Xenopus tropicalis: one gene and its partners. The protein of the gene in region 1 interacts with the protein of each later gene in a biochemical or structural test. Links are inferred from orthologs where the notes say so. Each region holds a gene or a part of one and is shown on either strand. Other genes may lie near its edges.

Region 1 (3,655 bases):
TTATGCAACTTTAGTTATGTTTCAGACTAAATAGACTAATTTGTAATACATCTCCTGACATGGAAATTCAAACTAGCAGAAAATTTAAAAGACGTTGAAGGATTTTGACCCAATCTAGAAGGAATTTAAAAATGATAGAAAGAAAAGCTATTGATAAAATATATTTTTAAAAAGGGAAAAGGGCAATGCATGCATTTACTAGGGGTGCTATAAAAACATACTTGAAATCAAAGTGTGCATTACAATAAAGTCTATTCATTGTCCAAAGTTTATTTTTATGGTATTTGGACTGAATATGCTATTCATTAAAAGCAAACCAATTATAATGTAATTAGGAAAAGTCCAAAACAGCTTTGAGAGTTGCTGTCATGCAAGGACTATAGAATGATCACATTTCAACATTTCCATTAGTGCACTATGTCAACAAATATACCTATGCATTAAACTGAAAAATATTGTGACAAAATAAAGGTAAAGGATACAAATTTGTTAAAGAACAAGGTTTCGGATAATCCAAATATAATTTTTTTTGCATTTTGCTTTACATCTATTCCATAGATAGAATGAAATATAGATAATTTGTACACCAGTTTAAGAAATGTTGAAATTTGTGTAGGTCATTAGGAGGGAGCTATGCAACTCTCACTGCAGTATGCCTGATTTTAATATGTCTAGTCCTCGTCGAGTTGCATATTCTATGAGATGAATGCATAACTACTGATCTCTCTGCATGCCACATGCTCATCCTGCCCATGTGCCTAGCAGGGATGATCTTTGCAAGGCAAGAATATCAGCCTTGGGTGCTCAAAGACTTAGGCAGGCAGCACCTACTTGTTACATGGACAGACACAAAGACCACAGAATTTTCCTAGGTCCGTCAAATTCTTTTCTGCTTCTTTCATGTCCTTATTGATTTGTTCCATTCCCTCCTCGATGCGTTCCAGTTGTTCTGATTAAATACAAGCATTATATCCCCACAGAATGAAGCAGATGGAAAAGGACAAAGAAGAAAGACAAAAACTTCAGACATTCACTGTGACAAAAACTGGACACCACAGAGCAGAGTGGGTACCCAGTACCTACTTGTTACAAGGACATATGAAAAGGCCACAGCATTTCCCTAAATCTTTTAAATTTTTCTCAGCCTCCTTCATGTCTTGGTTGATATGGTTCATGCCTTCTTCAACACGATCAAGTTGTTCTGGTCAGGACAAAGGGATGACAGTGTGGAATGAATTTAAATTTGTCTTCAACAGAACATGATAAAGGACTATGTTTAACGGAACTGTAACGGTATCTCAATGCATTACTGGGAATGATGCATTGCTGTTCAAGAAGATGTAGATCTGGGATGCCTTTAAATGGGAAAAAATGTTTCGAAAAGAACAAAATCTGGGAGGGAGGCGAAAATATGATCTGTGGTGGCTTTCAAGGAGTTCCTTTAACATGGAGGGATGATGTATGGATAGTCTGCTTTCTGGCTAAAGGCTAAAAACAATTATAATGACAAACACATTTAACAACATCTACATAAAGAACTGCCCATGGATTGATTTTTTTTTAAAAAAAAGCATTAATTTCCTAGAAGAGAAATCAAGTAGTTAGTTGTTTTTATTAATACGCTGGAAAGGTTATTATCGTAACTTGAGGCTTCATGTTGATTTTATAAGTCATTACCAACATAAAGATTATATCGACACTGGTATCTTGTTGTAACAATGCTTTCAGTGTCGGACTGAGACCCCAGGGGCCCAGCAGAAAACCTTGGACCATAGGCCCACTTTCTAAACTACCATTCCTCCTCTCCCCCCTCACCTTTATTGTCCAAGTCTCTTTTCTCTATCCTTCTCTGTTTCCCATACAGAAATATGGAATGGACCATGCAATTGGTCAAACAGTTAGAAGCAAGAGAGCCCACTGACACCTGGGCCCACCAGGAGTTTTCCTGGTATCCTGGTGGGGCAATCTGTCAACTCGGACAGATCAAAAGAGCAAACAAAGATCTTGTTATAACCTAAACCTAAATGAGTTCCCTTTACCTTCTTATACCTTTATTATACAGTTCCTATAATATGATTAGTGGGTTATGGTGAAGTTATAGATCTCCATAGTATCACTAGGACACTGCCCATGGATAGATACTATTAGTGGGTCTTGATTCTCTGTAACTTCTCTATTAATTATGCAATAAAAACAAAATCAATTCATTCTGTGATGTTAATTGCTATTTAAATGAATCTTCACATTGTTTTAAATTAAAGAGAAAAGCAAAAGGCCAATAGTCTATGAATCTTTCAAAAATGTCTTTCTGTACCCATTTAAAGGGTAGCTTGAAGGAAAATGTGAAGATTATAGGACAAAATAGCACTTCACCTTACCATATTTATATTTCATTAAAATGGAAAATAGATTGTTATGAAATGTAAGGCCATTCTAGAGTATGCAATACAGTTTTGGACTCCAGTATAAAAAAGGACATTATAGGACTAAAGAGAGTACAGAGATGGGCAACAATATAAATATAATAGGGGATCTCAGTTGTGACGAAAGGTTGGCCAAGTTGGGATTGTTTACATTGTAGAAGAAAAGATTAAAGGAAAAGGAAAGCAACCCCTCCACATTATGATCTTCTTTGCTAAGTTATGGAAGGTGTGTATGTACAATAGAGTGTAAAGCTGAACTTGCTTTTTGACTGCACATGTGTCAGCCTGGGGCAACAGAAGAATAAAGAAGCGGAAGAAGAAGATCACTAAATACAGAAGTACCCCAGGCCGGTGCAGTTTTATGCTAACAGGAGTATTGCCCCAGGGGTATTAGGTAAGCTTTTATAATCACTGGGGGTGTTTAACATTTGGTCCTCCCTCCCAGTGAGTTTAACATTACTAGTCCTTTAAGGAGGATATCTGCTTCCCTTTTCATTAGAAGAATGTGGCTTTTGTCACGCAATGTTTCCCATTTCCAGAGAGAATGCACAACTAATCCAAAGCAATATGTCCGGATAAGATTGGCTGCCTATTTTTGTGAAAAATATACCGTATCAAGACTGAAGAGGGAATTTGTTCACCTTCTGATGCTAAATGATCATATCATCAGAGGATTTTTTCCCTCAGAGTTGGCCAACAGGTTGAACTTGATGGACATGTATCTTTTTTATTCTGAGCTGCTACGTATAATAACTATATAACTAGGACTTTAACAACCCCAATGGCATTAAAAATAAGAGAATGACAGATGCTAAGTTGAATTTTAGCACAAATGTATGCAAGGCATGTTCAGAAAGACTGCATTAGAAATAGCAGAAACATCAAATGACAAAAACCACACATGCCCTAAATACGTCACTTAAAATAGGACCAAAGTATTGCTCAGCAGCCAGCACTGCCATTTTACGAGCCATGAAATTAAATGACAAATTCAAAATAGGTTATCTAATTCTGGTAAATAATTATAAAGGACTGCAACGAAGCATAAAATCGGTAAATGCTGACAAGCAACAGCAAAAGTAGCAGTTAGGGCTCATTTTAAAAGCACAGCACATATGTCTGGGGATATTCGCCTGCAGCTTTAAATATAGAACATCTGCTTCCATTTATCTGGGTTTCAGTGCAATTTTTCAGCTCTTGTCCAAGATCTGCTAATGTTAAATACAGGAAGG
Region 2 (4,451 bases), on another chromosome or scaffold:
AGTCTGTGTAATCTATTCATTCCTCTTGCAGGTCCTACATGAATGTTTTTTTTTTCTTTTTTCCCCTGCAGTCAGCAGATCCCTATCAGTTCATTTATCATAGCTGCTTTAAAAGATCCATGCAAAACACTGTTTGATATATGCAAAAAGCTGCAATGCACAAGAGTACCCTGTGCACTGAACTAGACGTGGAAAAATCAGTTCCACTCTTGCAGATGCTAAAACAATTTGCCCAGGAATGTGCTGGTGATCCTGGCAGACATGTAGGTACTAATTACCCCAGTGGAATAGCAAATACACAATTTCCCAAATTATAAACTACCTATATAGCACAATGATGGCCTCATATATTTCTTTACTGGAAAAATCTGTGTTTGACAGACACTTGCCCGTAGAATGTCATATCCACTGTTACATCAAAACACATCAAGGTATAACTCAATTAAACGTTTGACAGGCACCTTAAACATGGATATTAACAGGCTTTAAAGTAATATTGCATTTGGCATGCACCCAGACATTTCTATTCAAATTAATGATTTCATACATGCAATAAAACTATTACATTATAACAACTTTAATATACTGTAACCTGACCTCTTTACTATTAATGAGAGTTATCCTGTTTGTTTTCTATTCATCATGCAGTGTTCCTTCTTACCAACAACTGCACCACTTATTGCTGTATAGACACACTAATGAAACATGAGTGACTTTAACACTGTCTCAATAACAGTAATATACATAAGAATAATATGAAATGTGTATATACAAAATGAAAAGGTCTGTATACTGAAACAACATAAACAAAAATGTAAGCTTATTTATTTCCCATTTCCACCATTTAATTGTGTTTTGGGCATATAATTTCTTAATTACATTCACCTCATCAACTCTTTGCTTTTGACCTAGACACCCACACTGGGGGGGTTTCCATGGTGGTGCAGTGGTATAGAAGAAAAAGGGAGGAGCACATCCAATTGACGCATTGTATTTAGGAATCACATACAAACACTTAACATTATGAACATCAGATGACTGGACTTACCTCCCAAAGCTTGCTTCATAACAAAATCCATATTGATGGCTTTTGATTCCTTCCACTCAGCTTATTTAGTATATTACATGCAAGATAAGCAGGGAACTCTTGAATTCTATCCTATAACAAACATATTAAATATGGTAAATATTATATGTAAATAAAACTGACTGTCAGATTTGCAGTATCAGATAGGAAGGCTGCTGTAAACATTGCAATAATCTGAGATTCCTCCTGTGATGATCCAAGTAAACAGAAAGCTTTGCTATGAAAGCAAATAATTCTGCTTTAAGGCTCATATAGGAAAGAAAAGAACTAATAGAGATTATGCTGACCTTCAAACTGAGGTCATATTATGCACTGGTAAAAAATCAGCTTTATGAATGATGCTCTGTTAAACTTTTAGGACAAAATAGACTCAGCACTAAGTGATTAACAGAGAGAGAAGAAGCTAAGCAATAAAATACACGTTCATCAAAACACCTTTATAACACGTAACATCCCCTTTTGTGTCTTAAAACATCCTTAACACACCCATTTCAATAATGAAATCGGCTTGACTCCTTTGCTGTGCCAGCCAGAATAATAATGTCTGAATGTCTGAAGGGACGTTTGAAGGTGAGGTGTACTAGTCAAGTTTCTTAGCTGCGTGCAGTACTGTCCTACATGAATGCAGGGGAAAATAAACATGCATCAGAAAAACTTCCTTTTTTAACTTCTTGCTTTAGGCATAGTTTAAAAATGATGTGAAATCATATTTCATATATTTACACATGAGGTTATACATAACTCCACAATGCAGCACACTGTAGAACTGTTCTCATAGTTTAGTCCAATAGGGAAAAATGTTAGCGACTATAACTATTACTTCACAGGCATTTGTTGTTATAGTTAATTTGCTAAATTAAGACTGAAGAAGATGGAAAAATATCTTTTGCAGCAGAATGTTCCACCCCACTGCATCTAGTGGGCTGCAACAAATGACATCCTAGTGTATCCTTACTCCTGCACTGCAGGTGATAAGAAATGTCATTTCTAAACCTACCACAGTTTGATACCTCCCTCTGCTGGTACACATAAGCCTGGCAAATTATAATCTATAACATCACAATAAGAAACCCCAGTATTTAAGGTAAGCTTTAATATGTGCTCATAGTTCACTATGGATGTCTGCTTGATTTACAAAAGTTATTCAAAGATTTTCTGTGAAGCAGAGGACAGCCCTGACCATGCCTGTATACTCCACTACAACATTTCCCATTCAAATCATGAATTCACAACAGTAATATATAAAACTTCCATAAGTCACTGTCCTGTCTCAGTGGCATGTCTGCTACTTCCTACTGTAGGTGCAGAGCGTAGTGCTCAGACATGCTGCTATACAATCTATCTAAAGGCAGTGTTTCAAGACAACACATGCTGCAATGGGCTACTACAGTACAGTGCTCTGAAAAAAAAAAATAAATGTGTCAGCATAAAAGAAAAAAAAAAAACCATGCAAGCAAGGAAAAAGCAGTGACATGAAACATCAATACCAGAAGCAACACAAAGCCCGTGTTATATATTTTTCAACATATAATAGCATGATGTAAATAAAAAAAAATTGTAGGGAATTTCCTGATTCATAAGGAAGGCAAGAAAGCCACATTCAGCACTAGGGAAGCCGGGACAGCTCCTGCTCACATGCTTTAGTGTAAGAGCAGGCAGCACATTAGCAGTAACGGTCTATATATAAATAGAGAATAACAGTCCTGTACCTTCTCTTGAGCAGAAAGGAGATCCTGCAGTTTGCCTGCTTCTTTCAGTACCAACTCTGCACCATGGAAGGAAAAGCTCCCCCCTTTCCCTAACGTATCATTTTTTTTCTACAGCACAGTCTCCTCCTCCCCTGGTCCATGTGTGCTCTCAACAGGAACTGCAGCCTCTGCTGAAGGGCATTTAGGGAAGAGTCTGCTTCACCAACTTACACTGTGTTCTCTTATTAGCAGACAGACATGTCATGGACAGACGAATGGGAATGCTAAAAGAACATGGAGCAAAAGGGAAAAAGCACGTAGCCATTAAAGGGACAGATAAAAGGAGATGGATGTATAACCTTGTTTTTTTTTTTTCTTCCTACATCCTCTTTTATCACTGACAAATTCTGTATCCAGACAGCCTTTTGGGCGGGGTTTGTGGCTGTGGGCTAGCAGGCAGAGCTGCAGGGTCCTAATTCATGAAAGCAAAGGAGAGATGCTGTCTAGGTTACTGTAATGCATTTATACTGTATGCCCTATTGAGCTACTCCAGTTCCTGCTTTCTGAGTCAAACATTTTCACAGCCATCGTCCTAAATACATAATAGGTCAGAATTTTTCAAAAGCTCTGTGATGCTAGGCTATCTCAGGTAAAGTACTTTGAGTTGAAAAGAAAAGAAAATAGAGCTAAATGGCTGCTCAGACACATACTCACGAATGTATTCTATATAAAACTGATCTTTAAATGCTAAGTAAATATGCATAGTGGCTCTGCCAGTTCCCCAGTTATAGTGAACTACAGGTCCCAGGATACCCAGCTGTAATTTGACTGATTGGATTTGGCAACGCTAATTATTAAATTGTACATCTTTAAATAAGACTGCAAGGACAGGACACACATATTGTAGTGAACTGAATTTCCAGTAAAGACATGCTCAGAGCATTTCTTATAAATGGAAACCAGAGGCTGTATTTACTGTACAGTATATGTGTAGGAAGGATAGAGGAGAAGGAAGGACAAAATCTGTGTTCTGTGGTTTGGTAGCATTCAAAGCTCTGGGACTAAAGATAATCAGGGCTTTTAAAAAAAATGTACTGTTAAGAGCTTATATTCTTAACATTATACAGTAACAATGGTACTAGACCATAGGGCTTACTTTTGTACCTTGGGACAAAGCAAAAAAGGGGTAAAAATCTCCGGGTTTTTTGTTAATTGCACCTTCTTGAAGAGCTTTATTGACTGGCTGCAGGTGGTGGGTGGCAGATGGGCACCCTTTGTATTGCCCCAATAGCTTGCATTCAGACACACAGGCTTGGGAGTGAGTGTCGGAGGCTATAAAGTCATAGAAGAGAGTATTAATACATGAGCCCCTTTTTTCCCAGCGGTATAACTTTATTGGGCCAGCCCCCGGTTGGCAAGAAACATTGTCCGGACTCCCACTCCACCGCTCTTAGCCCTTCTGCCCCTCCTGTTTTCCCCTGGGGCATAATCAGCTGCCCCAGTCAGTATCCCCTCTCACTCATTTCTGGTGGACAACAAGTAGCAGTCAGGTGACCATAAGGCAGACCCTTTGATTGTCTGGCCCCCTCTTCTTCCTAGAAATTAGAAATTCAAATTGCATTACCACAGTGACATTTTCTGAACAAGCAACTAAGTTCTGCAAGCTGCTAGCTGCT
Region 3 (3,655 bases), on another chromosome or scaffold:
CTTTACAGTTGTCACAGTACCTTCCTATCTTGGATTCTGATAGAACTGTCCGGGACAGTTCTGCCCCACTTCTTTAGTTAGGTTTTAGTTCTCCTTTAATGGTGCTCATACCACAGGTAATATCTCAGATAAAATTACCTTGGAGGTCCTCGCCCTCAATTTTTATTTTTTTTAAACATTTTATTGAAGTTTTGCAATAAACATATAGGATGAATAATGACAAATTATTTAAATATAGGTTGTACAACAATAGTCACATTCGACAGTTTGTCCTTCAAAAAGATAAGAATGAAGAAAATAGAATGCTTACAGAGAAACAAAATAAGTAATTTAAATATAGAAAAACAAAACAAAAACAAATTAACTTACTTTGCCCAGTGGATAAACTAAAAAAAGAAACAAAAAGTTTCCTAGAGAGCAAAATCAAGGATAATTTTGCTTATATGTTCGTGAATTATTGAAATAAATCTATATATGCAGCATTTTATAAATCTGATCTTTATTCACCCTCAATTTTTTTCACTTAGTTTTTTAAAATCTTCTTGAGGTCCTCTCTCCTCCTCTAACTATGTAATTGGTACCTAGGTGTACCATGTGTACCATGACCACTGGGTCTTTCCCAGCCCCCACAATAATTTGTTTACTCATTCTACCACATGTCGAACCTTAGCACCAGGCAAGCAGCAGACAGTTCAGCAAATATCATCTATATACAAAATTGTTCTTGAGGACCTCCCCCCTGCTCTAACTATGTAATTGGTATCTATGTATACCATGACCACTGGGTCTTTCCCAGCCCCTCACAATAATCTGTTTACTCTTTCTACCACATGTCGAACCTTAGCACCAGGCAAGCAGCAGACTGTTCAGCAAATATCATCTATACACAAAATTGTCCTTGAGGTCCTCCCCCCTCCACTAACTATGTAATTGGTACCTATGTGTACCATGACCACTGGGTCTTTTCCAGCCCCTCACAATAATCTGTCTACTCGTTCCACCACATGCTGAACCTTAGAAGCAGGCAAGCAGCAGACAGTTCGGCAAATAAACAATTCCATGCAACAGAAAAACATTGCAAGTGGTTTTATGTAGAGAAGGAGTCATGCAAAAAAAAGGGAGATAATCTGAGAAAAAAATAAGGGACATTTAATCAGGAATGTATAAGCATACACAGGGTTTGAGGCCCTTATGTGTCAAGTGGTGTTTCTAAAGACTGAGCTCTACTATATTTAAATATTAAATCATTTCTTATACATAATGAAAAAATACTGATGCACATCAGGACCTTTTTTAGGTTTTGTCCTCACCAGGGACTTACACACACATATATATATATATATATATATTTATTTTTTTTACAAAATGTTCTCTTACCTCCAATTTCAGCAATGGAACAATCCATTGAACAGGATGATATGCAGTCCTCAACAGACCTTCGAATACGAAAATCTCAGGTTGGATATAACTTTGTTTGGCATAGATTATTCAAACTACAGAACTGAGGATAGATACATGGCTTTATGTTATTGTGTAAACAGGAGTTTATTGCATAGTACAGGATAATGGAATTATAATCTTTACATATGCACATGGTCTAACTAATCCATAGCAACTAATTATATCTTTGCTTTTAAACATATGTAAATATTACCTTATTATATGCTTCTATGAGTTATCACAACTTTGAAACTTTTATAACATTTTGCCTTACAAGTACATACGTAGGCACATTTCTTTGTTGCTGAGGTGCAATCCCCTGAGCTGTGTTTATCGAAAGATGAATATTGCATTAAAGGGGCTGTTAACATTTAGATTGACTTTTAGGGGCTGATTTACTAACCCACGAATCCGACCCGAATTGGAAAAGTTCCGACTTGAAAACGAATATTTTGCGACTTTTTCGTATGTTTTGCGATTTTTTCGGATTCTGTACGAATTTTTCGGATCCATTACGATTTTTGCGTAAAAACGCGAGTTTTTCGTATCCATTACGAAAGTTGCGTAAAAAGTTGCGCATTTTGCGTAGCGTTAAAACTTACGCGAAAAGTTGCGCATTTTTCGTAGCGTTAAAACTTAACGCTACGAAAAATGCGCAACTTTTCGCGTAAGTTTTAACGCTACGCAAATTGCGCAACTTTTTACGCAACTTTCGTAATGGATAGGAAAACTCACGTTTTTACGCAAAAATCGTATTGGATCCGAAAAATTCGTAAAGAATCCGCAAAACATACGAAAAAATCGCAAAGTACCGATCATTACGAAAAAAACGCAATCGGACTCCATTCGACCCGTTCGTGGGTAAGTAAATCAGCCCCTTAGTGTGAAATTTGCAATTGGTCTTCATTTATTATTTCCTGTTTCAGCAGCTCTCCAGTTTGAAATTTCAGCAGCTATCTGGTTGCTTGGGTCCAATTTAACCTTGCAACCAGGCAGTGGTTTGAAAGAAGTATATCAATAGAGAAGGGGCTAAATAGAAAGATGAGAAATAAAAAGAAAGAAATAAAAAGAAGTAGTATTGCATAAAATTCTCAGCTATAAAATGAAATTGCAAAATGCTAGGTTGAAATCTATTTTTACGAAAGAAAAATGTAATGGAGGGTGTCCTTTTTCTACAGCATTCTGTTTTGTCTCGGAAATTTGTGGATGTTATGACTAAATACAATGAAGCTCAGGTGGATTTCAGAGAGAGAAGCAAAGGAAGAATACAACGACAGCTAGAAATTAGTGAGTTGCCATTCTTATACTATGTAATTTTATATAACGCAAATAAGGTAACATCATTTCAAAATATGAGAGTCTTCTTGGGGTTAAAAGTAGTTTGCTGCTGGATTTGCTGCAAAATTCTATATTTTGCTATCGGCAATCTTTTTTTGCGAAACGGGAGCAAAAATTCACTGCACAAAAAAAAGGAAAAAGTCACGGTTGTGGCAAAAAATTGAGCTTGCATCAAATAAATCATGGTTGCGTCAAATAAATCGCGATCGCCTCAAAAAGTTGGGAGGTAAAAGTAACCACATTTCGCAAATTTTTCACTGTTTCTCGAATTTTTCTGCAGTTTTGTGAATTTTTCAGCCAAGCAAAAGGGAACAGATTCGCTCATCCTAGTCATAAGGGGGAAGACTGTAAAGTTAGGTATTAGTGCAATGTGTTTGCTTCACATAGGCTTGAAGGAACAGTAACACCAAAAAATTAAAGTGTATAAAAGAAATTCCAATATAATGTACTGCTGCCCTGCATTGGTACAACTGGTGTGTTTGCCTAAAGAATGCCGCTGTGTAGTCATGGGGGCAGCCATTCAAAGGAGAAAAGGCACAGGCACTTAGCAGATAACAGATAAAACACTATTGTATTCTACAGAGCTTATCTGTTATCTGCTATGTAACCTGTGCCTTTTCTCCCTTTTCCAGCCTGAATGGCTGCCCCCGGGGCTACACACCAGCTTTTTATATATGAACTATAGTAGAGTTACTGTAGCAAACACACAACTTTTACCAGTGCAGGGCAACAGTACATTATATTTCATTTACTTTAAAACCCTTTAATTTTTTTGGTGTTACTGTTCCTTTAACAGAATAAAGAGATGAATGGTGGTAAAGTACCTGGTAAGTCCAAAGCACACTTTCTTATCCCCTTTTATACAATGTTCAAGATC

The links.
Region 2: the proteins of snap25 (region 1) and cplx1 are reported together in a solved structure, tested with the Homo sapiens proteins (2 studies listed by BioGRID, with this or other methods). The link is inferred for Xenopus tropicalis from reciprocal best matches to the Homo sapiens genes SNAP25 and CPLX1.
Region 3: the proteins of snap25 (region 1) and stx3 form a complex in vitro, tested with the Homo sapiens proteins (2 studies listed by BioGRID). The link is inferred for Xenopus tropicalis from reciprocal best matches to the Homo sapiens genes SNAP25 and STX3.

Annotation. Positions count from the first base shown.
Region 1 is NC_030681.2:26,715,583-26,719,237, reverse strand, and holds part of snap25 (synaptosomal-associated protein 25), read right to left. Parts: intron 1,202-3,655; coding exon of another isoform or gene 1,084-1,201; intron 950-1,083; coding exon 832-949; intron 1-831.
Region 2 is NC_030677.2:110,343,374-110,347,824, reverse strand, and holds the start of cplx1 (complexin-1), read right to left. Parts: upstream 2,843-4,451; 5' UTR 2,797-2,842; intron 1,160-2,796; 5' UTR 1,080-1,159; coding exon 1,049-1,079; intron 1-1,048. UniProt on the Homo sapiens protein: Positively regulates a late step in exocytosis of various cytoplasmic vesicles, such as synaptic vesicles and other secretory vesicles.
Region 3 is NC_030683.2:60,545,907-60,549,561, reverse strand, and holds part of stx3 (syntaxin-3), read left to right. Parts: intron 1-1,389; coding exon 1,390-1,457; intron 1,458-2,618; coding exon 2,619-2,727; intron 2,728-3,655. UniProt on the Homo sapiens protein: Potentially involved in docking of synaptic vesicles at presynaptic active zones. Apical receptor involved in membrane fusion of apical vesicles.